Linked DNA regions of Oryctolagus cuniculus. The protein of the gene in region 2 interacts with the protein of the main gene of each other region in a pairwise test. Links are inferred from orthologs where the notes say so. Each region holds a gene or a part of one and is shown on either strand. Other genes may lie near its edges. The genes, in order: KLHL42, DDI1 and CYGB.

Region 1 (9,979 bases), on a different chromosome or scaffold from region 2:
AAAGGCTTAAAATTTTTTTTATTTATGATTTATTTATTTATTTGAGAAGGGAGAGAGAAAGCAAGCTCACTCCTCGGCCTCCCCCTCCCCCCATTATGCAGGTTCACTCCCAATGCCCATAATTGAATCTGGGAGCCTGGAACTCAATCCAGGTATCCCACGTAGGTGGCACGGCCCCATGACCAGAGACCTGCTCATCACCTGGTGCCTCCAGGGTACACATTAGCAGGAAGCTAGAGTCAGGAGCTGGAGCTGGGAAGTAAACCCAGGAGCTGCAAATTGGAACACAGTGTCCTAGATTGTGTCTTAACCTCTTGGCCAAAGACTCGCCCCAAAACTTCATTTTAGAGGATCTACCAGGTCCAATCCCAAACCCTGTTTAAAATGTTTCAAACACATTTTTGTGATGATTACATGAACACTCAGTTTGGGAACAGGTAACTTCTTGGTTCAAGTAACTTGAAAAGGAAGAGTAGAAACGGTCGGCATGGGGGAGGGAGGATTGGCAACAGTTTCACAGCTGGTCCTCCTGGGATGAACTTGTAGAGAAACACACAGGACCACTGCATTATGACAACATGGTGATATCTTGTAATTCCTTCCGATGACATGCTCTTTAAGAAAATATTTATTTGAGAGCTACAGTTAAAGAGAGAAGGGCAGAGAGAGAGAGAAAGAAATTGAGATTCCATCTGCTGGTGCACTCCCCCAAAGGGTCCCAATAGCCAGAGCTGGGAGGCCAAATAGAGGAGGCAGGAGCTTATTCCAGGTCTCCCATGTGGGTGCAGGGCCCCAAGCACTTGGGCCATCTTCCACTGCTTTCTTAGGCACATTAGCAAGGAGCTGGGTTGGAAGGAGAGCAGCTGGAACATGAACCAGTGCCCATATGAGATGCTGGTGTCAGAGGTGGTGGCTTAACCTGCTGTGCCACAGCGCCAGCCCCCAGTGACATGCTCTTGATAGTCATTGAGAAATGAGATACAGGGGCTGGTGTGTGGCACAGAGGGTTAAGCCCCTGCCTGCGATGCCAGCATCTTATATGGGTACTGCTTTGAGTCCTGGCTGCTCCACTTCTGATCCAGCTCCCTACTAATGCACCTGAGTAGGCAGAGGAAGACAGCCCAAGTGTTTGCCCCTGCCACCCATGTAAGTGGGAGATCTGGATGGAGTTCAGACCTGGCTATTGAGGCCATTTGGAAACTGAACCAGCGAATGGAAGATCTCTCTCCCTCTCACTGTAACCCTTTCATGTAAGTAAACAAATCTTTAAAAAAAAGTAAATGAGTTCCATATCTTAAAAACCTCTAATCTCCCCCAGGGGCATGATTCAAGAGCTACTGTGGGGTCCAGGACTCCCAGCTTCCAAGTGTCCCAGGTGAGACTTGGAGACCTAGGAGACCTAGGAGACAGAAACCAATGGAAGTTTTGCCCATGTGAGGATGCTCAGCCTGAATGGAACAGAGCTATGTTAACACCGTGTACTACTTTTATTTAAGTCACCCCATATGCTTTGATTATTTGTTAGAGGAAGCAATATTTTCATGAAGCCTAGAGATAATATTTTGGGTTTTATGTAAATAAAGGAGTTTCCGTTGCTTTGACTTTACATTTCTGGCTTAACAGAAACTGTACTGTGTGATTTATTAAAACCTTTGGATCTTTGATGACCCTCCCAGCCCTAACTGAGGGGACTGTCAGAGTGGGGGCCTAGAGGCGGCAGGATCAGGGCCTGGAATTGTGAGCCTGACACCCCAGATTCCTCGTCCCACCGGCTCCTGCCCTGACCACGTGACTGCGCTCGAATTGCCCTTCTAACGCACATCACTCACTCACTGTGAGTCACTGCTCCGCTTTACAAAGGTAAGAAAACACCGGTCAGGGGCTTATCTGTGACACTTGGGAAACAAAGGCATCCTTTGGCACAGTGTCTGCAGAGACAGAGGAGGGACTGAGGGCTGAGCCACTGAGTCTAGCGTTGTCGCTCACTGTAGCACAACACACTGCCAGGGCTGAGTGTCTTTGATGCAGGGGTGCCTCCCGGCAAACCCCCCTGGGGTAAGGCCTGGTGCTGGTGGGCAGGGTGGGCGGTGCATGTTCCCTTCCCAAAGAATCTGCTCCATCCAAGGTCACTCACTTCCCACCCCACACCTAGAATGTCTCCCTGCATCCTCCTGGGGAGTGGCGGTGTCACAGGTGGGTGTGGGGTGGGGTTCTGTGAGTGATGACTTCAAGGCCTGGTCAAACAGGGTGAACGGCTAGAAGTGTTCCAAGGGATCGCAGAAAAGAACTGAGCAGGGCAAATCACAGATCTGTTTTTGTCTCCTTTCTTGTTCCCAGGAAGGCAAGAACCTACCAGCATGATTTGTGTTGCTTAAATTTTAGTTCCTTATTCCTGGTGTATCATAAAGCAAAAAAGACACAACACCTCAGTATGAAGCAGTAAAATTACACAGTGAGAAGTAAAAATGTAACTACTCAGTGGAGTTCATATTTCATTGCCAAGACGTTGTTTTTTTTTTTTTTTTTTTTCCAGTGCTTCACTTTCTCCTTTTCCTAGCATAAAACATTCATCAGCATGATGGGGCTGTATCTCAGTTTGAAAGGGGGAGATGCACTTAGGAAGAAGTTACTATGTAACAACTCGCCATTCAAGAAGAAAGCTCAAGCCTGTAATTAAAAAACAGAAATCCAGATCCATACTCAGTTTACAAATCTTGGCCTGGAGAAGTTACATTTTGTTGCTATTGTTGGAAGGAAAGAAGGAGCAAACCCTCTGCCCGCCCCCCCCCCCCCCAAATCCTGGTCCCTTACCCTTCTCCTTGTCAGAAGACAAAAAGAGCAAGTTTAGTGCAAAGACCTCAATTTGGGGGGTAGGCACTGTGGTGCTGCTTGAGATGTCAGCATCTCACACTGGAGTTCTGGGTTCAAGTGTCACCGCGGCTTCCAGTCCAGCTCCCTGCTGATGCACACCCTGGGAGGCAGCAGGTGTTGACTCAAGTCCTTGGGCCCCAGCCACCCACTGGGAGACCCGGATGAAGTCCCCAGCTACTGGCTTCCAGCTGTCCCAGTGCCAGCTGTGTAACTCCCAGCATCTGGGGGAGTGAACAGTTGGTTTGAAGATCTTGCTCTTTCTCTTTGTGTAGCTCATTGAAAAAAAAAAAATTTTTTTTTTTTAATTTGAAGATCTCATTTGGCTTTCTGTGCTTCTGGAATCAGGCAACAGATCATTCCATAAAATGCAATGACTGTCTCCATGGTCCAAGTAGAAGAGGTTTGTAGCGGAAACAGACAAGGAGCCAGCATTTGAGGTTCCGTTCTTGACAACCTTTCTTGTAAAGGTTAAAGCACAGGCGGCTTTCCTACTAAGGCTGACTCCAGCCAGCCTGCCTGGATACTTGGTCACCATCTCTCTCTCTCCTGGGAGGTCAGCAAGCCACCTGGGGTGGGACCCACTTGGATTTGGCCTAGGGGGCGTGCAGCATGGCTGACTCCACTTTGGTCCATCCAGTGCAGGAGCTCGGTCCACACTAGTGGCCTCCTACAGATCTTACTGAACATATTGTCAAAGGGCAGATCTTAACTGGCTTTATTTTGGATCCTAGATTCAAGCAACACTTCATTCCAGAAAATAGAGTAACTGTTCCGGTGAGCCATGCAAAGCCTGCTTTTACAGAGAAGGGGTTGAAGAGAGCAGAAACAAAAGGATTAAGATGGGGCGTGTGTGTGTGGGTGGGTGGGTGGGGGCTTCGTGATCAACCAACTGCAACTGGCTGTTAGGGCCACCTGGTTGTGTGATGGAAGGGTCTCAGCCTGGTGAAGTGACCTTGAGCGTGAGTGACTCCATGACAGTGAGGAGTTTAGTCCAAACCAGCGGCCTTCTGTGATTTTTATTTAACGCTATTCAAAGGCACTGTCACCAGACTGTCCCTCTCCGAAGTCAGGAGCGCTGATGGTAGAGGTGAGTCTTCTAACAGCCACGTGCAGTGTTACAGTTGTCTGAATCCTAACGGAGGTGCTGGTGTCAACCCTAACAAAAATAAGGGAAGCTAGGGTTCTGACCGCTGCTGCTGGACAGTGACGACCCCAAGAGTCCGCTTGAACCACGCGGGCTTGCACAAAGGGCACTAACACAAAACGGACTTGTGCAAGGACCTCCGCGCGGTCACTGGCTGGCACCCCGTTCCTGGTCAAAGCGTCTTCTGGGAATCCTCGATTTTGCCCTTAAAAACCTCCCCTGGCTTTGCCCCCCTGGCGCCCGCCCGCAGCTCCCCGGGTGGCGCGCGGGGCTTCCCCTCGCCGTGGGATCCGCAGATCTGGCCTTGACTGTACCATCTTTGTGTTTGTCAGCAACCGAGAGGACGCGGAAAAGCACAGGGTTTTGCCTCCTAGTTCTTACGGGGGGGGGGGGGTAGGACAAGGAGGTGGTGGGAAAACCTGATTCTAAAACAGAGGGCACGTGGGCTGACTTCACGGACACGAGGGGGACCGCGGCTGTCCCTGAAGAGAGACGAGGACGCCGGACCCCAGACCACCTGGGCCGCCGGCCGGGCCCTTCTCCCACAAGATGGCTCCTGCTCGACGACCACACCGGACAGGTGGCTCCGGGCGCCTGGGCCTTGAGGGGGCGACCCCCCGGTTTGGCCCCCGGACCCGGAACTCTCTTCAGCCCTTCCTTGTCACGCTTGCTCCCCCTTCCTTCGCCCTGAGCGAGCGGCCGGCTCCGGGCTCCCCCGCGTCGGGCCGCCGGCGTCCCCGCAGCCCGGCCCCGGCCCGCACCTGCCCGCGCGCCCCCCACGCCGGGTCCAGCCGCGGCGCGGCCGGCGGGCGGAAGTGCGAGGGCCGGCGGGGGAGGAGGCTGCCGGCGGCCGGCTGCGGGCTGGGATTCCCTCCCCGCCTGACGCGGCGGCCGGGGGAGCCCGCGCGCGGCGGCCCGGCCTTTTTTGGTGCTGAGGGAGCCCCGCAGGCTGGGCCGCCCCCGGGGGTGGTGGTGGTGGTGCTGAGGAGCTCGGCCCGAGTCCCCGTCGCCGCCGTCGCCGCCGCCCGGGAGGAGGGGCTGCCCGGGAAGCCGGGCGCAGCCGCGGCCGCCCTCGCCCGCCCGCGCTCCGGGCCGCCCTGCCGTGGCGCGCCCCGCGCGGCCCCGGGCTTGCGCGCAGAGCTGGCGGGCAGCGGCCCCGCGCGCGGCGGCTCAGCCATGTCGGCCGAGGAGGTGGTGCAGATCCGCCTGGAGGGCCGCTGCTACCCGGTAAGCAAGAGGAAGCTCATCGAGCAGAGCGACTACTTCCGCGCCCTCTACCGCTCCGGCATGCGCGAGGCCCTGAGCCCGGAGGCCGGCGGCCCCGAGGTGCAGCAGCTGCGCGGCCTGAGCGCGCCGGGCCTGCGGCTCGTGCTCGACTTCATCAACGCCGGCGGCGCCCGCGAGGGCTGGCAGCTGGGCCCGCGCGGGGACAAGGGCGGCGCGGGCGATGGCGAGGAGGAGCTGGACGAAGCGAGCCTGCTCGCCGCGCTCGTGGAGGCGGCTTCCTTCCTGCAGGTCACGTCCCTGCTGCAGCTGCTGCTGTCCCAGGTGCGGCTCACCAACTGCCTGGAGCTGTACCGCCTGGCGCAGGTGTACGGCCTGCCCGACCTGCAGGACGCCTGCCTGCGCTTCATGGCCGTGCACTTCCACGAGGTGCTGTGCAAGCCCCAGTTCCACCTGCTGGGGTCGCCTCCCCCGGCTCCGGGGGACGTCAGCCTCAAGCAGAGGCTGAGGGAGGCCCGGATGACGGGGACCCCGGTCCTGGTGGCCCTGGGGGACTTCCTGGGCGGCCCCCTGGCGCCGCACCCCTACCAGGGGGAGCCGCCGTCCATGCTCAGGTACGAGGAGATGACTGAGCGCTGGTTCCCGCTGGCCAACAACCTGCCCCCGGACCTGGTCAACGTCAGGGGCTACGGCTCGGCCACTCTGGACAACTACCTCTTCATCGTGGGCGGCTACAGGATCACCAGCCAGGAGATCTCCGCTGCGCATTCCTACAACCCCAGCACCAACGAGTGGCTCCAGGTGGCTTCCATGAACCAGAAGAGGTAGGCGCCTGGCCCGGGGCTGCTGCTGGGCGTGCAGCTCCCTGGTCCACTCCTTCCGTCGTTGCTCCAGGGTTTGCTGGGCAGCCCCCTGGGGGTGTGCTGAGGGTGGGGGAGGGATGACACCCCCGGAGCCGGGCTGGCTCTGGCGTTGGCGGGGTTCCCAGCGAGCAGAGGCCCCGGGAGGATGAGGTCAGCCAGCGCGCCTGGGTGGCTGCCTTGCAGGTCTTGTGTTCTTAAGCAACACGATTTTCCTCCTGGTGGGAAAAACAATGTGGCTTCCTAGAAGGGCCTGTTTATTTAAAAAAGGCTGCTGTTTAAGTTTCATCTTTACAGATGTTTCCTTCTTTTTAGTTTTCAGGTTCTGATGGTGATTCTAAAGACACACTGGACAGTTACCTGTCATGCTGACTTGGGGTGCCTTTTTTTTTTTTTTAACCTGTCAGTGACTTTGAAGCTTTTCACCCTAGAGCACCAATATATGATCAGGACACAGTCCCTGGAAAGTGACCAGAATTTGCTGTGTAGGATTCTGTCTTAGTTTTTGTTCTCTCTTTTGCTTCTTCCTTCTCAGTGTCATTGACCCAAAGGGTGAGCCTGGCGGTAGTCACCTGTGGAATTGGAATCCAGCCACCCTAGCTGTACTCAGGGCGCTGGTTCTCGGACCCAGTCGGATACCAGTCCTGAAGCCTTCTATGAGATGGCAGTGTTTGACATAACCTCTGCGTGTCCTTTCCCCCGCCCCAAACATTTTATGTCTTCTCTAGATTGCCTGTAATGCCTGTGGTATGAATGCTGTGTACATGATAGTTGATTTATTTATTTATTTGAGAGGTAGCGTTACAGAGACGGAGAGGAAGAGACAGACAGAGGTCTTCCATCCACTGGTTCACTCCGCAAATGGATGTACCAGCTGGATCTGGGCCAACCTGAAGCCAGGAGCCACGAGCTTCTTCTGGGTCTCCCACAAGGGTACGGAGACCCACACCCTTGGGCCATCTTCCATTGGTTTCCCAGGCCATTAGCAGAGAGCTGGATTGGAAGTGGAGCAGCTGGGTTTTGAACTGGCGCCCAGTTGGGTCTTGAACCAGCACTCATATGGGATGCAGGTGCCACAAGTGGAGGCTTCACCCTGCTACACCACAGCGCTGACTGTATGCTGTATGTTTTAAGGGAACAAGAGAGAAATTCTGTACACCTTCTGTACACCCGTGATTTTTGGTTTGGGTGTTGTCTCCCCTCATTTGGCTCCATAGAGATGGAGGGCCGACTGTATTCCTATCACCCCTACCATCTCCCTACCAGGTCTACAAACTCCACAATGACTTGAAGAAAGGAAAAAAAAAAAAAAAAAGGCAACATGGGGCCTGCGGTGGGTGGGCAAGTAGTAGAGAAAGGGGCCAAGCTGAGAGCAGGTACAGGAAGAGGTGGTGGGGCGGGGGGAGGAAAGGAGAGAAGGAGGGAAGCAGCTTCCTTTTGCTATCGACATCTTTATACGTCTGCCTGGAAGCGTGGAGCAGGGACTGCAGGCCTCACAGTGTGGGGAGTCCTCGTCACAGGTGCTGGACTCGGGGATGGGTTCTGCCACACCGCAAAATTCGCTTTGCAAAGTATGCTGCTTTCCTGGTGACACAGAACAGCGGAGTCACTGGAAATAGGAGAGTGCAGAGAAACCCAGACTGTTGCTCCCGCCGCCTCCTAGAGGCAGTAACTGCAGAGCAGCACGTTTTCTTCCAGCCTCTTTTATTTTTAAATTTGTACTTTTTATTTGAAAGATAGAGCGAGAGTGTCAGTTCTCACCTCCTGGTTCACTCCCCCAGTACCCTAACAGCCAGAGCTTGGCCATGCTAAGCCAGGAGCCAGGTCTCCCATGTGGATGGCAGGGACCCAAGGACTTGAGCCATCACCTGCTGCCTCCCAGGGTGTGCGCTGGCAGGAAGCTGGGTCAGAAGCAGAGATGGGACTCGATCCTGGGCACTGCAACGTGGGACGTGGGCAGCTCAACCCACTGTGCCACAATGCCTGCCTCCAAAAGTTGTTTTTTCCTCTGTACAAATCCTTGGTAGTACTTTTTTAAAATACATTTTTATTTTTTTTCTTTTCTCTCTCTCTCTTTTTTTTTTTGAAAGGCAAAGAGGAAAATCTGCCACCTGCTGGTTCATTCCCCCAGTGCCTGCATCAGCCTGGACTGGGCCAGGCCAAAGCGAGGAGCTGGGAGTCCAGTGCAGGTCTCCCGCGTTGGTGGCAGGACCCGAGAACTTCAGCCATTACTTGCTGCCTCACAGGGTGCACGTTAGCAGGAAGCTGGAATCTGAAGCAGAGCCACTCGATATGGGACGTTTGCATCCCAGGAGGCGGCGTCTGCTGTCCCAAGCGCCCACCCTCCTTCATATTCTTTGCCTTTTTTTCCTGGGAATTGTCTTTCTATGCTTTTAAACAAGAAAATTGGAGCCACTGGCATACATACTTTTCAGGAAACTTGTCAATGACATGAAAAACGACAGAGTGAAAAATATGTGTATGGACATATTGAAATATTCTAAATATACAAACATCTATAAATTTATAATTGCATGGTTATGTAAAGATGTTGATAGCAAAAGGAAGAATATATAGGAGTACTCAGTGCGCAGAGGGGTAACACCTTGCAGGTGCCATCAGGGGGTGCGCTTTGTTGTGGCACTTGGTGTTTCTGCTTAGCAGTCTACTTTTTTTTTTTTTTTAAAGATTTATTTATTTGGTAGTCAGGGGTGGGATGTCTTCCATCCTCTGGTTCACGCCCCAACTGACCACAATGGCCGGAGCTGGGCCAATCAGAAGCCAGGAGCCAGGAGCTTCTTCTGGGTCTCCTACATGGGTGCAGGGGGCCCAAGGAGTTGAGCCATCTTCTGCTGCTTTCCCAGGCTATAGCAGAGAGCCAGATTGGAAGCGGGACAGCTGGGATTCAACTGGTACCCATATGGGATGCCGGCACTGCAGGCGATGGCTTTACCTGCTGTGCCACAGCGCCGGCCCCTTAGCGGCGGGCTTTACTGAGTTGCTTTCCATGTCAGCAGATGCAGGCCTCTCTCCCTGCTAATGCACTGAAGCCTTGAGAAGGTTCCCTAATGTGATCAGCCCTTCCCTTGTTCATGAACCTCAGGTTGCTTCTGTGTGCCATTATAAACAGCGTTACATTGAGCACCCCTTAGGGGTGTATATTCGGCTTAAGTGAGTTAATTCCAGATGTCACATTCCTGGCATCCCTGGGCAGGTGGGGTAAAGTGTATGCACATTTGACATTTGGGTGCCTCCTGCCAAATTACCCATCCAGAAATTCTTCTGATTTTCTCTCTACCAATGGTGTTTGACCTGCCAGTTCCCTGTACGCTTTCCAAGACCAGATATTATCATGTGCACCCCCACCCCAGTCTGATGGACAGAAGCACTGGTGGGATTTTTCCCTGGTTAGAAGGGAGATTGTTCTTTTCCTATCTTTATTGGCCATTTGTATTTCTTTCCTGAATGCTTTTTGCCAGGTTTTCCAAACTTGGCTTATATTTTTCTTGTTTGAGTAGTTCCATGTACGTTTACGGATCTCTTTTGTCAGGTAGTGTTGTACAGTTATTTTGTATTGGAGAACTGCTGCCCCATAGTGCCTTCTCAGCTACAGTAATTCCCAGGTGGAAGTCAGAACTTGGTGTTCCCAACTGAATACCCCAATTTATTTTTAAGAGTTATACATTTATTTGAAAGGCAAAGTGATAGGGAGAGAGACAGATTCCCCCATCTGCTGGTTCATTCTCCTACAGAACACGACGGGTGTGGGGGACAGGGGACAGGCTGAAGCCAGGAGCCTAGAACTCCATCCAGGTCATGCATATGGATGGCAGAGGCCTAAGCATTTGGACACCTTCTGCTGCTTTCCTAGGCACTTTTT
Region 2 (9,815 bases):
TCATTGTGCTCCTTTTGTACCATTTTCTAGAATTAAAATGTGTCAGATAAAGGTTACGTAGGGGCCAGTATTGTGGCCCAGTGGGTTGGGTTAGCTGCTGCCTGTGGCATTGGCATCCCATATGGGTTTAGTTCCCTGCTGCTCCCTGCTTGTATGCCTGGGAAAGCAGCAGAAGGTGGTCCAAGTATTTGGGCCCCTGCCTCTCACTTGGGAGAACTGGAAGAGGCTCCTGGCTTCTGGCTTTGGCCTGGCCTAGCCACAGCTACCGCAGCCATTTGGGGAGTGAACCAGTGAACAAAGGATCTCTTTCTCTGTGTGTCTCCCTCACTACCACTGTAACTCTGCTTTTCAAATAAATAGATAATTCTTTAAAAAACCTTTTTTTTAAGAAGAGGTTACATAGTAGACAGAATGTGACATTTGAATTGGAAATATTTGTATTGAACAATCTGGAAGAATGATTAGTGTTTTGTAAATTCTGGATCAGGGTAACTTGGTGAGATTTATTTAGCACATATATCAGATTTTTTTAATTTGTATTTTCTTTTATTTATTTGAAAGAGAGAGACAGAGGACTTCCATCCACTAGTTACTCTCCAAATGCCTGCTGCAAGCAGGACTAAGCCAGGCTGAAGCCATGATCTGGGAACTCTCTCCAGTTCTCTTGTGTGAATGGCATAACCTGATTATTCTAGCCTGGGAATCTGGTGCCTCCAAAAGTGTACATAAATAGGAAGCTGGAGTTGTGAGCAGAGCCATGATTCAAACCTAGGAACTCTGACATGGAATGAGGGTGTCGCAAGTGATGTCTTAACTGCAGCACAAAATGCATGACCATAGAAATATTTTTAAAATAGTAAAATGTGGACGTTATGGGGGGAAGCCATTGTAATCCATAAGCCGTACTCTGGAAATTTATATTCATTAAATAAAAGTTAAAAAAATATATAGTAAAATGTAATTTTAAAAATAACTGGGAAAGGTTAAAAGTTACATTATTTAAAGAATCTTGTTTGTTTCAACTTTATATGGAAAAGGTGACTTCAAACAGTTCACAGAAAATGGAATTAAATGAAAAAAGTAAGAAATACAAACTTTATTCCACAACATAAGTTTCATCAATATCAAAGCATTTTTGTAAGTAATAGTATCAGCTATTTAGTCTGTCCTTCAAGAAACAGAATGTCCCAGGAATATAACTGTGTCTGTGCAGTTCTTCTTACATTATTGACTAAAGAAAAATTGATGCTCTTTTTAATATTTGGAAAGAAAAATAAGGCAAACGGAACTTTTAGGGCTCTAATGCGGGTGACTAATGATGTCTTATTCAAACACCCACAAAGTTGCCTTCCTTTGGTGAGAAGACTGGCAGGAATATTGTTGTAGGGGAGCAGGACTCTGGTGACGTTTCCCAGGTATTTTTTTCTGCTAGAGCTTTGGCTTTCTCAAAATACCATCTTCTCAATCCGATGTTTCCATTCTCTGTGTCGCCAGAAGGTCAGTGAGCAGAACGCCTTGAGCTTCCCAGAAACCTATGGCCTCGACCTTTTCTTTTGAGCAGTGCCTTTTTGCTTGGACTAGACCACTGCTCCTCTTGGAAGACGTTGCTTTGATTGTGATTTGTCTCCACGACTGCACTGGTAAAGCCATGCTCTGTCTTCTCTTCCCTCTCCTTGAAGCAGGGCTTCATGATCCTGATCCCATTCATTTGATATTGCCATTGAGTGCTCTGTACATTTCTGTATCTGATTGAAGCTCTTCAGTTTTGGCACACATAGAACAGAAAGTTTGGTCCACTTTAATTCTTCAGACAGAATTATGGAAACTGAACCGATTCAGCTGTTTGTGGTGCTGCGTTTTGTCCGTGTTCATAATTGTTGATTTCCTTTAAGTAGGGCATGAATAAGATGAATTTTTTCCTCTCCAATTGATGCGGCTAGTTTGCCGCTGCAGGTGTCATCTTTAACATTATCTCAGCCCTTGTAAGACAGCTTATCAATTTGTAAGCTGTGGATTTCTTTGGAGCGTTGTCTCTGCAAAATTTGTATAAAGCAACGACAATTCCACCTTTCTTCTACCAAAGCTTCACCGTAAATTTGATGGTTTGTTCTTGCTTCAGTTTTAGCACAATTCTTGTTGCTCTGATGAGGCTTTTTTCAAATTGACGTCTTATCCTTCTTACTGCCCCAGAACAAGTCCTGTTCAAATATAACAATTTAGTACAAGTTTTGGTGCAAAAAATGAAATTCCTGTGTAATTTTTATTGATTGCATTTTCTATGAACATTTTGAAGACCCTTTTACATGCCCCCCCCTTCTCTCTCTCTCTCTTTCTCACTCTGTGTGTGTGTGTGTGTATATGTGTGAGACAGAATCACAATGTAAAATGCAATTTGTTATAAAAAAGAACATCAAATTTTAGATAACTTAATATTTGTAATTCTGAATATCACATTACCCATTTGTAAAATGAGGTTAATTATAACTATTTTCAAGGTTTATTCTGAGGATTCACAGAAATAATATATGTAAAGTATTTTATAAACCTGACTTACATAGAAGACAAGCAAAAGATGTTGCCTTTACTGAAAATAACCATTTAAAATTTAATTGAGTAGGACCCTTTCAAAAGTTTATATAGGATTACATCAAGATTTTTAAATCCATAAAATGAATTTTTAAAATACTTTCCAATTTGAAAGACATTTTTAAAAAAATTAATAAAGCATTGCTTAATTAATTCACTTTGTTCATTGATTTTTGAGGTCATGGTTTTTTAATTCAATAAAAATGTTTTTAATTTACCCATCCATTCACTCATGTAATATTTTTGCAAGTTGGAATATGCCCAAAGGATCATAGCAGAAATTTAATAGGTTCCAAGCTTGTTATATGAGAAACATTTAAAGAATTTTAAAAAACCCTTCAAAAAGACCAGTATGATATTTATTTCATATAGAAAAGGATTTCCTCATGAAATAAAGAATAAATGTATTAGCAGAGAGAAGAGTGACAGTCACAATATTAGAAGTTAGATGACAATGCATTTTAGCCCAAACTAAGAAAATATATACGTGATATTTGTTCTGAAACATTATAGCCACCTCGGGACGTATGTTCCTCTGAGAAGACATGGTGAGTGTGCTCATATCTGACATCACGTAAACTGTCTTCTGCCTTAAGCATTCTCTGATTTTTAGATGCCATTATTGGACTAAACATTCTGATAGACTACAAGCTAAACTTTCATTGACAGTGAACATCATTTGACATTGAGGAGTCCCTTGTAGTATTTGCAAATCAATGTGTTCTCCATAAATGGATTTTAACATCGAGTCCAGAAGATTGGAGACTGAGCATGGGAATACTTGTAAGGTGGGAGTAGACTGATGGTGGAAGGAAAGAGGGATGTTCCTTTTCAGTAGCCTTAGTGAATGCTTCAAGTGGTTTTTTGGTATTATTAGAAAAAAAGTAACAAATAATATCCTGTATCATAATATAGTTTTAGCACTTTAAAAGTGGCTCCCCCAACCAAAACCATTTATAGATGGTGCATACGAGTAGTAAAATAGATCAACTGATTTGTCTTAATTACAAAAGGCTAGGATTATAACACACTTGTTTACTTTCAGTCCACCATTGTTTCTGAGTCTTGATGAATTATTGTCCTGAAGCCTTTCTACTTGAATCTGATGGCAAAAGGTGGCTGCACCCTTTCTCTCGGGTATTTTAGGATTCCTCATTTCCCACTGTGAATGAAGAGTAGCTTTGTCAGGGTGGATCAGAGAGCCCGATGGTGTCTCGTATGTCATCTCATTCAGGTATTTCCAAATAATATTTTAACAGTGAAACCCCTTGTTCAAATAGTATTTATGGAATAGAAGCTTTCTAAATAAACCAGATTTCTTTGTAAAACAAACAAACAAAAAGATGAGCTTGTTGAAATGAGTTTTAGGGGAACTAGACCACTACTTGTCCCCAGTGTCCACATTCCTACCACCATGCAACCGCTAAGCTCCCTAGAAATATCATAACTTTAAAAAGGAAAGCTGACTCATCACCTTTGTTTTACAATTAGGGCTTCTTTGAATCCAGGGGAAAGAGAAACCTATGTTAAGTATGGTAGGAGGAAAATGTGCTTTCTCAAATATGACAAAAATACCTTGTAAGGATGGGTGGCATTGAGCATGGCTCCAGGGGAAGGAAAGTGGTAGGTCACGAGTTAAGTGGCCCCTCTGCTGTCTGAGACATACTTAGCAAGTCTTAATCAACTCAAAAGTATCATTGACCCATCATGCCTTTCCCAAAGAAAACAAACTCTATGAATACAGATATATGTCTCTCCGTATAAATGTTTGGGTTGTGAGATCACTTTCTGTTGATGTTTTGTAAGGTCTGCAGCAATGGCTATTTCCAGGGACTTTTGCACAGTAACAGTTGGTTTGGATAAGCCACCTGCAATCTGATAGAAGGGTGTCTGATAGGAAGAAGCTGGCTTTCCTTTTCAGGGATTGTCAGGGAGCCAGCTGCTTCCCCCAGAGCCTTCCCAGGGTGAGGGTCAATGATCTGGGAAAAAGGGAAATGGAAAGTGGGGCCAAGACCAAGCAGTGAGCATTTGTGTAAGTACCCATCTGAGATGAAGTTCCCCATCATAGTCCCAAGGCCAGGCTTAGTTGTTACTGATGTTTTTAATGATTACATTGCCAGTGAGCTCATGTCTTATAATTTCTGGGACCTGAAGCATCCTCAAGGTGGTGACACATTTCCAACCTGCTTCAGTGCTTCTTTCATCCTGAATCCTTGAGTGAATGCTTAATGGTGTTTGCCGTATCCTTGTCTGAAGGCTCTTCTTGCCCGGTAACACTTACCAGCTTAGCACAGGGGGGTAACTCTCCCTCAGGAAGAAAGGATGTCTGTGTGCCAGTGGTGCCAATCACCAGCACATTTTTCTTCAAATCGATGGAACACTGATGCCTCTTCAGCATATCTAGTCCAAGAAGCATGTCCATGGGCTGCTCCTCAAGTATAGAGAAAGAACATTGCAGGAAGTCTCCTTCAATCTGAATTTGAGCTAAATGAACGCGGCCGATGATTCTTTGTGTGCCCACTCCTTTAGCCACTCCAGCCCATCGTCGGTCCACCAGTCTTATGATGTTGCATCTCTCCGCACACGCTTGGCTCATAATGGTCATCTGGGCACCCGAGTCAACAAAAGCCTTCAAAGGATGTCCATTCACTTTGCAGTTGATATAGAGCATTGCCACTTGCCCAAAACTCTCGGGGGCCTCTTCCATTGCTATATTCATGTTTTCTTCAATGTTCTGCTGCCGGATTTCTTCTTCTATTTTGGCCTGAGCTTCCCTATCAAATGGGTCCGCGGAGTAGAGACGAAGCCTCTCTTGCTCTCGCAAGGCCCTCTCCCTCTGCTGCTCCATCAAGACCTGAGAAAATGTTTCAAGGTTCCCGCTGAGCAGAGCTTCTGCCAAGGAAGGGTTGCGTTCCTTCAGCAGGGACAGGTCGTGAGGATTGGACAGCAGCATGCTACGGATCAAGGCTGGGCTGTCCAGACCTTGAGCAGATGCCATCTTCTCTCCAGAGGCCAAGCCGTGGGAATGACGAGCAGAAGGCGCACACGGTTGCTGCACAGGGGGTTGCTGCTGCTGCCACCGAGAGCCTGATGTCCCAGGCGTGGCGATTCCATTGAAATCTGTTCGAGGCTGGTTTGGAGTCCGTCCTGGAAGCCTAGGTCCCACATTCTCCTTCTGGAGTAATACAATGACATCACCGTCTTTGAGGCCGTAGGAGCCCAGGGAACAGTGGTCATCAGCGAGGAGGTGCTCCATGTAGATGAACTGGGTCTCTTCGGCAGGGATTCTGGACTCTGTCTCACACAGGACTCGGAAGTCACGGAGTTCAAAGTCAGGGCTGACCTGGAGGGAGAAGGTTACCTCGGAGAGGTCCCTCCGCACACAGTACACAGTGACGAGCATGGCATGGGCCCAGCAGGGCCAGGCGGGCAGAGAGCATCAGGTGGTTCGCTGACTGACAGGATTGGTCTCTGTTGTTGGTGTGGTTCCTCCTGGTGACCTGGTGTATTGCTTATTCACCTCCAGGGGAGGCTTGGCCACTTGCTGGTTGGGGGTGTCTCCCAGCCTCAGCGCCTGCTGTGGAGCCTGATGGAGCTTGAAGGGAACATGTTGAGTTCTTAAGTTCCTTGGTATGTGTGCTGTTTAGAACGTCAACTCCTATTTCCATGGAGACAAAGTTCCTCAAAGACAGTAGGTTCCAAGGCCAACCCTTCATAGACTATTTCACATAGGATCTGAAGAATATAACTTCATCTATTCTTAAATGACATTAAAATTTACTTTATTCTTCTTAGAAATGTATTCTATTTACTTTTACTAATTCCCCAAACAATGAGAGCTTGTTTCCTACCGTGCTACGTGCTTAGTAGGAAACATAAATCAGACTTGCTACCTACCCTTGAAGATTTCATTCTGGAAACAGATGAATGGGGGAGAAGGTAAATAACAACCCAAGAGGTAAGTACATTTACAAAGAATTGTTTATTTGAATAGCACCTATAGTGCTATGAATAGAACAAAGGATTTTTCTCTAAGCAGAAGAGGACACAGTCTGTATGTTGAAGGATGACATTTTCCAGGTGAAAAGTGATGAAAATTACTCCAGACAAAAGGAATTGCTTGGACAAAGGCAACAAGTCATTTTATTTATAGAAAAAGTGAGACCATTATTGAAATGCAAATGTGTATACAGTTTTTGATGGTAGCCTATGAAGCTAGAGAAAATTGTCAAGTCAATTTATGAAAAGTCATCTGTATACCCAAGGCATCTAAATATTTTCAATATTCAGGAATCCCCTATAAGAAGAAGGTTGGGCAAAGAGAGAAAGTGGAACAAGAAGAGAGAGAAGGGGAGAGGAGCAGAAGAAATGAAAATGATTTAAAGCAGGAATTCTCAATTTTTTCATCCAGTTGACTTAAGGTAGAAGGTTTCTGAAACATGCGAAGAACATTTGGTGGCAGGAGAGACTTTTAGGAATGTTTTTTTTTTTTTTTTTCAGTAGTTCAAAGAGTAAACTGTTGCTAGAATCTGAAAGTCCAAGGGAGAACTAAAGCCAAACAGTGGAGAATAAAGTGTTTCTTGAGTAAAATGGACAGGATGTGTTTACCTATGGAAGTATGTGTTTACCCATGGGTGTGGCTAGTGTTGAAGCAGCAGAGTGTATGGAAAACAGAGGGCCTCTAAAATGGGAAGACCTGGTAGAAATTGGCCACTGCTCTGAAGGGATGACTCGGGTGAACTTCTGTGGTAACCAATTTGACATTCAGTAGTAAAATTCAAGGCAAATGCTACTCTTGGGGCCAGTAATGCCTCTCTCTGACTCTAAGCAACAGCCACCATCACCCACATACATATATACCAGTGTAGAGGCTTCCAGGGTCAAGGTTAAGAGGTCTTTCCAAGAAAATGATGATTGAGTAGTAATTCTTGAGTGCCATTTAATTTTTGCTATATTTCATATACTATTTTGCACTGTGAAGATCTCTCTCCCATTTGTACACTTAGGAACTAAAAGATATTAAACATTCTGTGCTTGTAGCAACCTCCACTCAAGATTTTCTGGAAAGTCTACATTGTTACAAAGAGAAAGGTGTTGGTTTTTGTTGGATGGAAGACTATTCTCATTCAATGCTCTAATTACCATAGTATTTCCAAAGTCATATGCTCTGCTATTAGAAATGTTGACTGAATGTCCAGTGTATGTGAAGTATGAGCTGTGTTCACAAGGATAGGAACACGAGCAGTGTTAAATACAAGCTGCGTTCTTAAGGAAGCTCGCAGTGTAGAAGAGGATACGTTCACACACAGAAAAACTGGGGGAGAGGGAGAGGACAAAACAGTAGCACAGTAGAAATCTGCAGAGTGCAGGGCAAATCAGTCCATCTGGAGAACAAATGAAGATGATGATGGCTGGGCAGGGAAGGCTTCCTGAATGAATGGGGACTTAAAAGCATGATAAGGACTCAGCCGTGCGTGGATGGGCTGGGATGAAGAAACAAAGGTTGAGAAAGAAAATGACTTGTCTTAGAGACTTTAATTGGAAAAGCAGAGTTTCATGATATGAAGGATTTTATTAAAAATATTAGGGAAAAAAAAAAGCCTAACATCTTAATTTCCCTGTAGGAATATGCCTGAATTACTTTTCAATATCTGTAGAGGAACGGTACTTTGACCCAACAATATTAAGTCAGTTTCTTCTGTCCTTCTTAGAAGCTCATCAGAAATTAATAGTGGTTTCTCATGAATTTGGAAATAACAGTGATATTAGACATCCGTGCAAAGTACTTTGCTAAAGAACAGACTGAGAAGCCAATAGGACTTGGATTCAATATTCCTACCCCACCCCACCTCCCAAGTAGCTTTGGACAGTTTGTTCTTAAAACTAAAATAAGTTAGGGAGATAATAGTACGGTTTTTGTTTTTCTTAACTAATGAATGAAATTATTATTAAATAAGTATTATCATGTTTTCTGTTGGTAAAGCAAACATTGAGGATTCAAGTTAAAATAAAAAGTAGCATTTTTTTCCATTTTACCATTGCTTTGATACTGAACATATGAAATATTGCATGTATGTTTTATTGCCTTTCTATAATTCTTTACTTTTGATGGCTCTTTGCATTTATATGGGTTTTATTATTTTATCTTTTATTGGGAATACATACTGAAAAGCAAAAGCCTCAAGATCTGGCCAAGATCTGGCCAATCTGTCATTTCGTAGAATATAGGATGTCAACATTTACAAGAATCCTTTGGATCCTGCAGTCCAGCTACCCATGCAAGAAACTGTTTAAAACTCTGTTGTGAAACAGCTTGGAATCTGAAAAAAATAAATGCAGTCTCTTGGGGCTAATACTTCTGTTCACGCGTTGGTCTTCCCTTTCACTCGGCACTGTTGGTGATTCCAATGCCATATGTGTGATTCTCTTAACTCTAAATTTAAACTTAAAAACTTCTGTTCCTAACTTAATAAACTTGAAGATAACTGGGAGTATATGTAAATACCACTAAACATAAATTTTGTAATTTCATGAATGCCTAACACACAGACTGCTGAGAAATAGAGGACCTGAATTACATAGGTAGCTGAAGGGTATTGCAGCTTTTCTCGGAAAGTTCTTTATATTCTGTTTCTTCCTTGGTAAGTACAATATCAGAACGTAATTTAATCTTTCGTTGATAAGTGAGATTTTTACAAGGTCCTAAGGCTATCACTCAGAAAATCAATTCTCATTGTATAGCCTAAATATCCAGAAAATAGAAAAGATGACACTGATTTCATACTCACCAAGTAAATAACTCTAAAGTTTTTTCCAATAAAGCTGCTTAATACCTTTTATAATTTGGCTCTTTCTAAAAACTTAATACAGAAAAAAAAAAGAAGTCCAAGTAATTGATAATTCCACTCAGTATATATAGAGTCAGTTGAGCTGTAAAGTAATACCTATTGCTTTACAAAACAAAATAAACTTTTGTGTGTGTGTGAAAACACTAGACTATTTATTTAATTTTTTTAGATTTTATTTATTTATTTGAGGCAGTGAGAGGTAGAGACAGAAAGGTTTTTCAGCCACTGGTTCACTCCCCAAATAGCCACAACAGCCAGAGCTGAGCTGATCCGAAGCCAGGAGCCAGGATCTTCCTCCAGGTCTCCCACACAGGTGCAGGGGCTCAAGTGCTTAGGCCATCTTCCACTGCTCTCCTAGGCCATAGCAGAGAGCTGGATCAG
Region 3 (9,762 bases), on a different chromosome or scaffold from region 2:
GCGGCCCCTCCCGGCAGGCTGCGGCCTCCCCGCCCCCCTACCCCAGTGCCTCAAGTGGGTTCCCTCAGCTGCTCACCCCTTCCCGTCCTCGCCTCCGCGGAGGTGCCGCTCCCTACAGAACTCCTCCCTCCCCTGCTGTCTGAGTCAAGGGCAAGGGCCAGCCAGCCAGACAACCCCGCTGGGCCCCGGCAGTGGGGGGCTGGATGGGGAGGAGGGATGCTGGCTTGCGCGGGGGTGGGGGGTGCTTTTGAAGATGAATGGCTGTGAGGCCGTTGGGAGCAGCTGCCTGCAGCGGCTGAGCCCGGATCCGGGAGCAGAAGCGGAAGTCTGCGTTTCTGTCTGCTTGGGACCAGGCAGGGCTGTGGAGAGAGCGAAATGGCAGAGCAGCTGGGGGCCAGGGAGGCCGGCGCTGCTGGTACTGAGCAGTCGGCGCACTGACAAAACAAGTGTTGCTCCTGCCCATTTGGAGCACACCCGCGCACGGGAACACACGCACACACACACACGCACACACACACTCAGCACCGGGGAGGGCGGGCTGGCGGCTGCCCCATCCAGCTGCAGGCAGACCTGTCTCACACCCAGCTGGCCTTTCTTATTGATTCTTTCAGCCCGGCTGCCAGGGGCACAGGTGCCAAGGCCAATGCCACGGAAGTGAGTGGCACCACGGCCAACGGACACCGGCGCAGGTTTGGGCCACGGGCTGGCAGAGACAGGCGGCCAGGCGGGTGGAACCCCTCTGCCCAAGCAGCTGGCAACCGGCCTCTGTGGGAGCCCGGATCCTCCACTTCCCAGAGAAGGGACGCCGGGCAAACGGTTGACCCTGCCTGTGCGTTTCCTCCCATGGAGCCCGTGGGTGACAGCATCACCGTGCACCTGGGTTGTTAGAGGACGAACTAGACCTTGACGGGTGGCTGGGCGCTCTGGGCTCTGCACCGCCTCACTCCCTGCTTGAGCTGCCCCAGAGCTAGCCTGCCCACCCAGGCCAGCCCACCTCCCTCTGGGCTCAGTGGCAACAGGCCTCTCTGGTCTCCCCGCCAGCTCCCAGGGGAGCCCACAGGCTGAAAGTGCAGAGTCCACCTGCTTCCTTCCGGTTCTGTTCCCCCCTCCTCCCAGGGGCAGGGGGCCAGACCCAGGCTTGGGCTACCTCGGAAGCCAGGACAGATCTGTGCCCAGAGCTGGGACTTGCATTCCACGGCGGACACCCCAGTGTCCACAAGCACCGCCCCAGCCTCCTCCCCTGGCCTAGAAGGTGCCATCGAGACCGCACCCGCCGTCTCCGAACCGGCTCTTGCCCCGCGGCCCAGAACAGAACAGACCGGAGGTGGGAGCTGCATGAAGGATCCCACCCTCCTGCTGCCAGCCTCCACCAACGACCACGGGAGCTCGGGACCGCCTGCTGCGTCCCCCGTGGCCTTCGCACTCTCCCCTCCTCGCCCCATCCCTGCCCTCTGCCCTCTGGGGCTCCCGGCCCTGCCCTACCTGCCTGAGCCAGCTGATCCTGGTCTTGAGGAGGCGAGAATTCACTTCAGAGGCTCTTTCTCCCTAAACGGAGGAGAGCAGAGTCAGAGGCCTGACCGGACCACTCCCCACGCTTCTGTCTTTCGTCTTCCACCCCTACCCCCGGCGATCCGCCCCAACGCCGCGGGGCAGGCGCACCTAAGAAGCCCACTGGAATTTGTGACCCTGGCACTAGAGAGCAGAAATCACACCCCAGCCACACCCCCCACCAGCCCGTGATTCCCCGACGTCAGACCGATTTTTCCAGTTAACTGGGTCCCAAGGAGTTAATAGGTAACTGCTTCCTTCTGGCTAAATCACGCCAGACCAGGCCCGGCCAGATGGTCCCCAGATCTGGCCTTTCCTCTCCTGCCGGGAGGTCTGGGCCGGGTCCACGTGGAAGTCGGCGGCCGGATGGCGTCCGGTGAGCCACAAATTAGAGTGATCTTAAGCAAAGTCGCTCACAGCCCCCGGACCCCCAGTTTCCCGACCCAGTAACAGGAAACGGACACACACACGGGTCCCGCCAGCCCTCCAAGGCTACTGCGACCTCCAAGTGAGTTCATGTCCGAGCCACGTCAGGCAACAAGAACGCACTGATCAGGCATAAAATCACGAGAATCACCCACGCTGGCCGGGCAGCAGCTCCCAACCCTCGTGCTAACCTCTTATTAACCCGCGTTTACGTGGAAACAGCCTGGCCGCATCATCGGTCCAAAGTGTCCCAGACAGCAGAGGGGAGCCAGGATGGAGACCCAAACTCACAGCGAGGACCAGTGGGCAGGGTCAGCCTGACTCATGTCAGCCAGGCACTATGAGGGTGACCCCAGCCCTCCTGCAGGTCGAGGGACAGTGGCACAGAGACACATGCTTCCCGAAGTTGCCCGGGGCTGCCCTTGGGACGATCAGAACCTGGGAGGCTCCCAGGACGCTCACAGCGACAAGGAGGCATTTCAAGGGGGACACAGCGGGGCTGGGGGCGGGCAGGTTCCCCAGCCAGGAAGAGACTCGGAGCACGGCTGGCAGGCCTGCTGCCGGTGCCCTGTGTGGACACACAAGCCAGAGGCCCTGGAGCCGCCTAAGGATCTCTGCTTCTCAGCCTGTCACTGGGAGTGGGGGGGGGGGGTCTCAGACACGTCCCACCCACCCCCCCCCCCCGCGTGGGTCTTCAGGCACAGAAAGAGCGCGTCGCCCGCAGGTACTTGATGCAAATTTGCTGATTTTCTTTTCAGTGTTGGGAACCTCGGTCATGCATGGACGCTGGGAAGCGGCCCAGGGAAGGGAAAAGCAGGAAGTTCCCATAACTTCGCTCCCTTAAGGGCCAGATGGCCGCAGCCCAGGCAGGAGTTAACTTTCCGGCCACTGGAGACAGCGTCCTGCCCGCAGGGGCGGCCCAGCCAATGGCACGCGGCGCTGATGATGTCATGCTCCTCCCGCGCCTGCTATTGGGCACCAGGCGGCGAATCCAGCCGGCGGCTCGGGCCGCGGGGCCGCGGAGGCGGGGGCCGGGCGGCGGAGGGGGAGGGCAGGGCCGGGAGCGGCGGGCGCAGCGGTGCAGGGCGGCTGCGGCCTCCTCCCTCGCCCGCTCCCCTGCGCCTTCCCACGGAGGGCGCCCCGGGGACCGCCTCGCACTCGGGCCAGCGGGCAGCGACGTCTAGGGCCGCACGAGGCGGATGGGGGCTTCCATCCCCAGCTGGAGAGAGCAGACCCCTGGCCTGCTGGCCAGGCACACAGGGGTGACCGGGGAGTAGCCAGGCAGGCACAAGGGCGCGCGCACACACACACCCAGCAGACTCTCCAGCCTCACCTGCCTGTCGACTGCAGGTCTGTGTCGGAGCTCTTGGTAACTGCCCCGTCCACGTCGCTGGGCTCTCTGTGGGAGAGAAGGGCTGTGGGCGGTGCCCAGGCCCCCTGCCCCGCTGCTCCCCACGACCTGGCCACGCTGGACTCCGGGCAGGAGGCTGCAGCCCAGTGCCTTTGAGGTTTTACGGTCCCCCCTTTCAGAGCCTCCTAGGTCTCCTGCCTCCTTGCCTGGGGGTCCAGGCAGTCCAGCCCTCCTCCCACTTGGCTGGCGCCCAGCCCAATCACCCCCCCCACCCCACCCCCTGCCCGGAGCCCAGGCGGTTTCTCACGGTTGGACCCGGTTGGCAAACCGGCGGCGCCAGAGCATGGCCAAGGTGCTGAGCACAAAGAGGGTGGTGCACATGGCTCCGCTGCCCCATCCCCTCCCAGGCGGAGGCCACGATGGCCTGGCCAGCTGTCTTGAGGCTCTGGTTGGGATGGATTTAGGAGGCACAAGCTGATTAGTGGGATCAGCAGCTCTGACCTTGTGAGGGCTGATTAAGCTGGCCGGGCCCAAGGTCTCCCTCGAGTGGCAGGATAAATGGACACGGGCACTACCCAGAGTGCAGATCTGAGAGCACGCGGGCCTTGAGGCCAGCGTTGTGGCACAGCAGCCCATGCTGCAGCACCGGTTCGAGTCCCAGCTGCTCCACTTCCAATCCAGCTCCCTGCTAATGCGCCTGGGAAAGCAGTGGAGGATGGCCCAGGGGCTTAGGGCCCTGCACCCCATGAGGGAGAACTGGTTGGAGTTCCTGCCTCGCAGTTTCAGCCTGGCCCAGTCCCGGCCATTGTGGCCATTTGGGGAGTGAACCAGCAGATGGAAGACCTCTCTCTCTCTCTGTCTCTCTAGGACTCTAGCCTATCAAATAAATAAATCCTTTAAAAAAAATCTTTAGGTCTTGCCGTCAAGGGGCTGACACTCCAGACAGGTTAATGCCGCAACAGACTGGTTTGGGAGCTATTAAAGGCACCTGCTGAACACCTGGGAAGCTTCGCGTCTCGGGATGACTTCCAAGAAGAGCCGGGGACGACTGACTTTGCAGGTGCCCAAGGAAGACCAGGCCCTCACAGCTCTGCCGGGGCTGTGGCAGCTGCCGGGAACCGGAGCTGAGCGGCCGGGAGAAGGATGCCACAGCGAGGGCAGCCGCAGAGCAGGATGAGGGAAGCCAGCAAGGCGAACCCCGAGGGAGGCTGCTCTGTCTCATCCTCTCCGGCACCCACTTCAGGACCAGGGCGGAAATCAGCCTGCGCTCACAGATGCGGTACTGGGTGCCGACTCGTCCCCACACCGCGCACAGGACACACGCAAAGGATGAGCTGAAACCCCATGGAAAAGGGGAGCCCAGCCACATCCCAGGGGCACCTCTCGGGCAGCCGCGTGGGACGCCATCGGCGCAGGTGAGTGTGTGTGGAGCCTGGCGGCAGAGTGGGATGAGAGGACCCGAGCCCACACGGTCTCCTTCCCTGGTCCAGGAACCCAGCGGTCATTAGATGGAGCACTTGGACCTTGAGTTCCTGGAAGAGCCCAGGCTTGACCTTGAAACAAGATTGTTAAAATAAATACAGGAACCCAAGTGGAGGAGGACACGGCCGGCTGGGCGGCGGGACGCCAGGCCTGGAGCAGGCCAGGGTCACCCCACACGTGCTGGAACACCTGCTGTGGGGCCTGGCCATCCCCAGGAAGTCTGTGGAAGTCTGTCCCCTCCTCCCCCAGCCCTGCAGCTGGTGGTGGCTGGGCCGTCTCCAATGACCTGGGCCTTCCTCTGGGCTTCTGGACACCCAGGGCCCTGAGGTCAGGGTGGTGCCCAGATCTCCCCAGCCTGTGCTGGCCGGAAGGAAAGGGGGTGCAGGCCTGGGCACCCTTGGCGGCTGAGCTCAGGTTCCGACGACCCCGGGCGTGGCAGGCGCGCGGGGAGACGACCCTAGCCTTCACCCCTCCTGGGCCTGGGGTCCTGCGCACTGGAAGTGGCCAGGGTCCGCAGCGGGCGCCAGAGGGGCTGGCATGACCTCCTGGCAGGGATGGCGGGAGAGAGCCCCCGCCGATGCCTGGGAGGAATCGACTTCGAGTCCAGTCCCCACCACGCAAAGGGTGCACACAGCACACACGCCCGGCTGCGCCCGCGGCGAGAGCGGGACACGGCGGTCCCGGACCCGCACCCGCGGTGCGCACTCCTGGGCAGCCGGCGCCGCGTGACCGCCGCGCCCCGGGAGACCCCCAGCACGCCGGCCACACCTACCCCGGCGTCGCCCAGAGGTCGACCCCACCGCGGCCTGGCGGGTGGGGCGGGCGAGTGCCCGCCGCCTCGCCCCCACCCCGCCCAGCCTTCACCTTGCCGGAACTGGCTCGCCGACGCGGGGTAGGGGTTTGAAACGTATTTATTTTTTTTTAAACATTTTCCCAGCAGACCACATCCCCGCCCCCCGCCGGCGGGCCCCCGCCCCCCGCACTCACACACACACATTCGCGCGCACACCCGGCGCGCACAGACACACGCGCTCCCTCCCTCCGGCGCTCTGCCCCTCGCCCGCCCGCCCGCCCGCCCGCCGCGCACGCAGCCGGCCCCGGCTCCCCGCGCCCCGCCGCCGCCGCCGCCGAGCGAAGCCGGGCTGGGCTTGCAGCTGCTCATGGAGAAAGTGCCCGGCGAGATGGAGCGCCGGGAGCGGAGCGAGGAGCTGTCCGAGGCGGAGAGGAAGGCGGTGCAGGCGACCTGGGCCCGGCTGTATGCCAACTGCGAGGACGTGGGGGTGGCCATCCTGGTGAGGTAGGTGTCACCCCGGCCGGCCGGGCCCTGTGCAGGGAGGGCGGTCGCGGCCCGGGGGCGAGCTCCGGCGTCACCTCCCCAGCCGCGACTGGGGCCAGGCCGTTCAGAGCGCGGGCAGCGTGGGGCGCAGCCTTGGATGAGCCCTTGCTGGCTCCGGGGTAGGGCTCCCAGCCACTGGGGTGCAGGAGGAGGGCCCCTCGGATCCCGCCTCTCCCCAGCCTCGGAACTCCTGGCTCAGACTCTGAGCCGGTTGCCTTCCTGGCCACCGCCACCACCTCCCCCACGAGCTGTGAGGCCCACACACATTTTTCTGGGGCAGTAGGGGATCCCCATTTTAGAGACAGGAAAACTGAGGTGCAACCGAAGAGGAGGACACAGAGGGGCAGAGTTCTCTCAGCTCAACCCTCTGGAAGGAGCAGAGCAGAGGGCGAGAGAGTGGAGGCCAGGGGGACCTGGCTCTCCCCGCTGTCCAAAGGGAGGGCCGGCCAGCCGTGCGCTCCAGGTGAGGCACAGGTAAGTGGAGCAGCAAGCCATCCTCCAGGACACATCCCCCGCTGAGTTGGAGAGGGGCCCCGCCCTGAAGCCCCCACCTGGGTTCTGGGGTCATTCCGGCTCCAGGTGTCCCCGACAGACCCACGGACACAACACCTGTGCAGGGTGCACGGGCAGCATCCCTGTAGAGCGCCTGTTCCCAAGCCCCACAAGCCACTAACTGACCATGGTGACCACCGATGCTTTCTTCCCACGCCTGCTGGTCCCTGGGGTGCGGGCCTCGAGGCGCCAGGCCACCGGCGCTCTAAGCCCCCTGTCCGTGGCAGAGGGGAGCTGTCAGACAGAGGACGGAGCGGGCAGGCTTGCTGCACGAAGAGGGGACGAAACTGGCATCTGTCAGGACAGCTCCATGCCCACCTGGCGCCCTGTCCCGGCCCCGTCTCTGGCTCCTCTTCTCCCCATCACGCTCTCCCCCCACACCTGGGACCTACCCCGCAGCACGCCGATCTGCCCTGATTCCACTTCCGATGAGTTAAGGAAGGGGCGTCTGTGCCAGCTGCTTCCGGGCCCAGAGACAGCGGTGGGGGGGGGGTGAGAGGGGCCAGGATCCTGAAGCCACAGACTCCAAGCGGGAGCAGAGCCACAGATGCGCCAGAGTTGGCAGCCCCGAGGGGCCCCCGCAGCCGTGGGTCTGGCACACACGGAAGTCACCGAGGGGAAATGAGGCAGGGTTCCCAGACCCCCGGGGAATTTCTGTCCCTGGGCCCTGCCATGTGCCGCCGAGGCGCCTGGCCTCGGAGGGGTGCAGAGGAGCCGAACCCATGAGCTCTGTTTGGGATGGTCTGGGCTCCTGGGAGGTTTTGTTTCTCTCTCTCTCTCTCTCTCTCTCTCTCTCTGCACCCACTCCTGGTTCCCTGTTCTGACTCCTGGATGGGCTGGGCCCGGGCTGGGAGAGGCATTACCCAAAGCACTCTGTGTTCAGAGAAAGGCCCACCGTTCATCTGCGAAGGCTCGGCTGGGGCCGCTGCTCACTCCTTCATGTCCACCGGAGCCCGGGGCAGCCACTCCCCGCCAGCCCCATGCCCCAGGCCTGGCCAGCGACGGAGGGATAGAAAGGGGTTAGGGCAGGAGCCGTCCTCAGGGTCCCCAGAACCTGTCGCAACTCCCCCCCTTTCCCACACCCGACACACATCCACAAGACCAGCTCTCTGCCCCTCACTCATCCCCACCAGGCCGGTGGGGTGAGGCCCCCCCTGGCGGCCACATGGGTGGTGGTGGAAGAGGCCTGGGGGGAGGAACGCCCACCCTCCCTCCTGGTTGTAACTCGGCCGCCTTCCCCCCCACGCTCAGACAAGCCTATTTCAGGCTCTCTTGGAAGCCCAGATGCCTCCAGGAAGGGAGAAAGTCCCCAGGAATGGCCGGGGAGGCTGGGATCAAGAGGGCCCAGACGCCCGGGGACTGTCCTCAGGGCCACACCCTGGCCTGAGTGTAAAGCAGGCGACGGCCCCAGGCACGGTCCCCTGACCAGCAGCCTATGCAGGTGGCAGGGCCCCTCCTGGGCTCCTTCCCGTCCCCAGGATGGCGATAACAGCGGGGCAGGGATGAGGGAGCTGTGTATACAACAAGTGCTCAAGAAACTTTGCCTGTGGCTTGCTCATCTATAAAATGGGTAGAATCCCCACTCGCTCCGTTTGAGATGCTTGGCACCTTGTCGCGTGCAAGGCAAAGCGAAAGAGCATTTTGTAAATTTTAAATTGCAATTCCAAAAAGCCCCAGAGGCTGAGGCGGTCAGCGACATCCACATTGGGGTTTTTCAGGCTGGTCTCTCATCGCTGCAAAGCTGGCAAACCCACCGCCTCCCTCATCCTCACCCGGGTCCCATGAGGCGTGGGACTCAGAGCTGGGAAACGGTTTGGTCTCCGTCTGAACTCCCCCCACCCACAGCCCACAAGGATACAGCAGCTCTGTTGCCAGAAGGGGTGGCCCGGCCGGAAGTTCTCAGCCCCCACCCCCCACCCCCGCTTCTGCAGCCCATCTCTGGCTAAGGGGCCGCTTTGGCAAAGGATCGGCGAGGGGGACGCCGCCCGGCGTGAAGCCGCCCGGCACACAGGCCCCAGACAGCCTGGCTGTTTTCCGAGGGTTCCGTTAAGTTATGTAAGTTCCGACGGAGCCCGTGCATGTGTCTCACGTGACAGCCCCGCTTGGGAAAGGAGGTGTGGATTGTCCGCACGCTCGCCAGCCGCAGGGCCCGGGCGGAGGGTGCCGGAGATCCAGCCCGACAGACGGAAGTTAGCCGGGAGGGCCTGGAGGGGACAGCCTGGGCTAGCCGGGAAGGAGACGCAGCCCGCGGAGGGCTGGTGAGGGGAGCTGTTGGCTGGAACCGAGGTGTGCTGGGGGGAGAGCGTTCCCACATTTGTAAGAGGCTGCCTTGCCCTGTTAAGGAGTTTTGACTTTGTCCAGTAGACAGTAGGGAGCCATTGAAGGTTTCTGAGGATGGGAGTGGCCCAAGGAAAGCTGCCTTGGGGGGGGTGGAATCGGATCATTTCGGGTAAGCTGGAGTGTGGAGGCGCCAGGGGCCAGGAGGGCCTGGGGTCTGCAAGGAGCGGGCGTGCCGGGGAGGTGAGACGCACGCATGTACAGGCACACGCGCACACACACGACGTAATGCCGGACCCACGCCAGGCAGGCCAATCCAAGGGCCGTTTCTAATTAAATAAAATGACCAACGATCACTGCAGGGAAGTGGAGAGAGGAGAAGGAAGACAGTGTCCTCGCCCCTGCCGGGCAGCCTGAACCGACTTCCACACCAGGCTCTGCTTGGTTCAGCTGCAACCAAAACCGTGTCTCGTGTCAGCACCGGGCACGAGGCGGGTGGTTTCTCATTTCAGCCTCACGACAACCCAGGAGACAGAATGACCGTGCCCATTTTATAGATGAGGATACTGAGGCTCAGAAACGTTAAACCCCTCGCCCTGAATCACACTGGCTGGTGACTCCGGAGCCGTCTCGGCTGGGGGCTTGAGGAGCGGGTAGACTTTGGACGGGAGAAGAGAGCGAATGGGTGCAGACGCCTGGGACAGGAACTCCTGCCGACCTGGGCGGGACCTGCATGGAGGCAGATGCGAGCCAGCCCACATCTCGGCCCATGGCTCCTGCCTGCTCCTCG

What was found.
Region 1: the proteins of DDI1 (region 2) and KLHL42 interact in binary tests that used the Homo sapiens proteins (3 or more experiments, as listed by UniProt). The two-hybrid records come from large-scale screens. The link is inferred for Oryctolagus cuniculus from reciprocal best matches to the Homo sapiens genes DDI1 and KLHL42.
Region 3: the proteins of DDI1 (region 2) and CYGB interact in binary tests that used the Homo sapiens proteins (3 or more experiments, as listed by UniProt). The two-hybrid records come from large-scale screens. The link is inferred for Oryctolagus cuniculus from reciprocal best matches to the Homo sapiens genes DDI1 and CYGB.

Annotation. Positions count from the first base shown.
Region 1 is NC_091440.1:124,894,508-124,904,486, forward strand, and holds the start of KLHL42 (kelch-like protein 42), read left to right. Parts: upstream 1-5,110; 5' UTR 5,111-5,191; coding exon 5,192-6,063; intron 6,064-9,979. UniProt on the Homo sapiens protein: Substrate-specific adapter of a BCR (BTB-CUL3-RBX1) E3 ubiquitin-protein ligase complex required for mitotic progression and cytokinesis. The BCR(KLHL42) E3 ubiquitin ligase complex mediates the ubiquitination and subsequent degradation of KATNA1.
Region 2 is NC_091432.1:95,772,907-95,782,721, reverse strand, and holds the start of DDI1 (protein DDI1 homolog 1), read right to left. Parts: upstream 6,223-9,815; 5' UTR 5,990-6,222; coding exon 4,787-5,989; 3' UTR 1-4,786. UniProt on the Homo sapiens protein: Probable aspartic protease. Seems to act as a proteasomal shuttle which links the proteasome and replication fork proteins like RTF2. Required, with DDI2, for cellular survival following replication stress.
Region 3 is NC_091448.1:4,248,527-4,258,288, forward strand, and holds the start of CYGB (cytoglobin), read left to right. Parts: upstream 1-4,601; 5' UTR 4,602-4,669; coding exon of another isoform or gene 4,670-4,740; intron 4,741-4,761; exon of another isoform or gene 4,762-4,815; 5' UTR 4,816-5,967; coding exon 5,968-6,104; intron 6,105-9,762. UniProt on the Homo sapiens protein: Probable multifunctional globin with a hexacoordinated heme iron required for the catalysis of various reactions depending on redox condition of the cell as well as oxygen availability.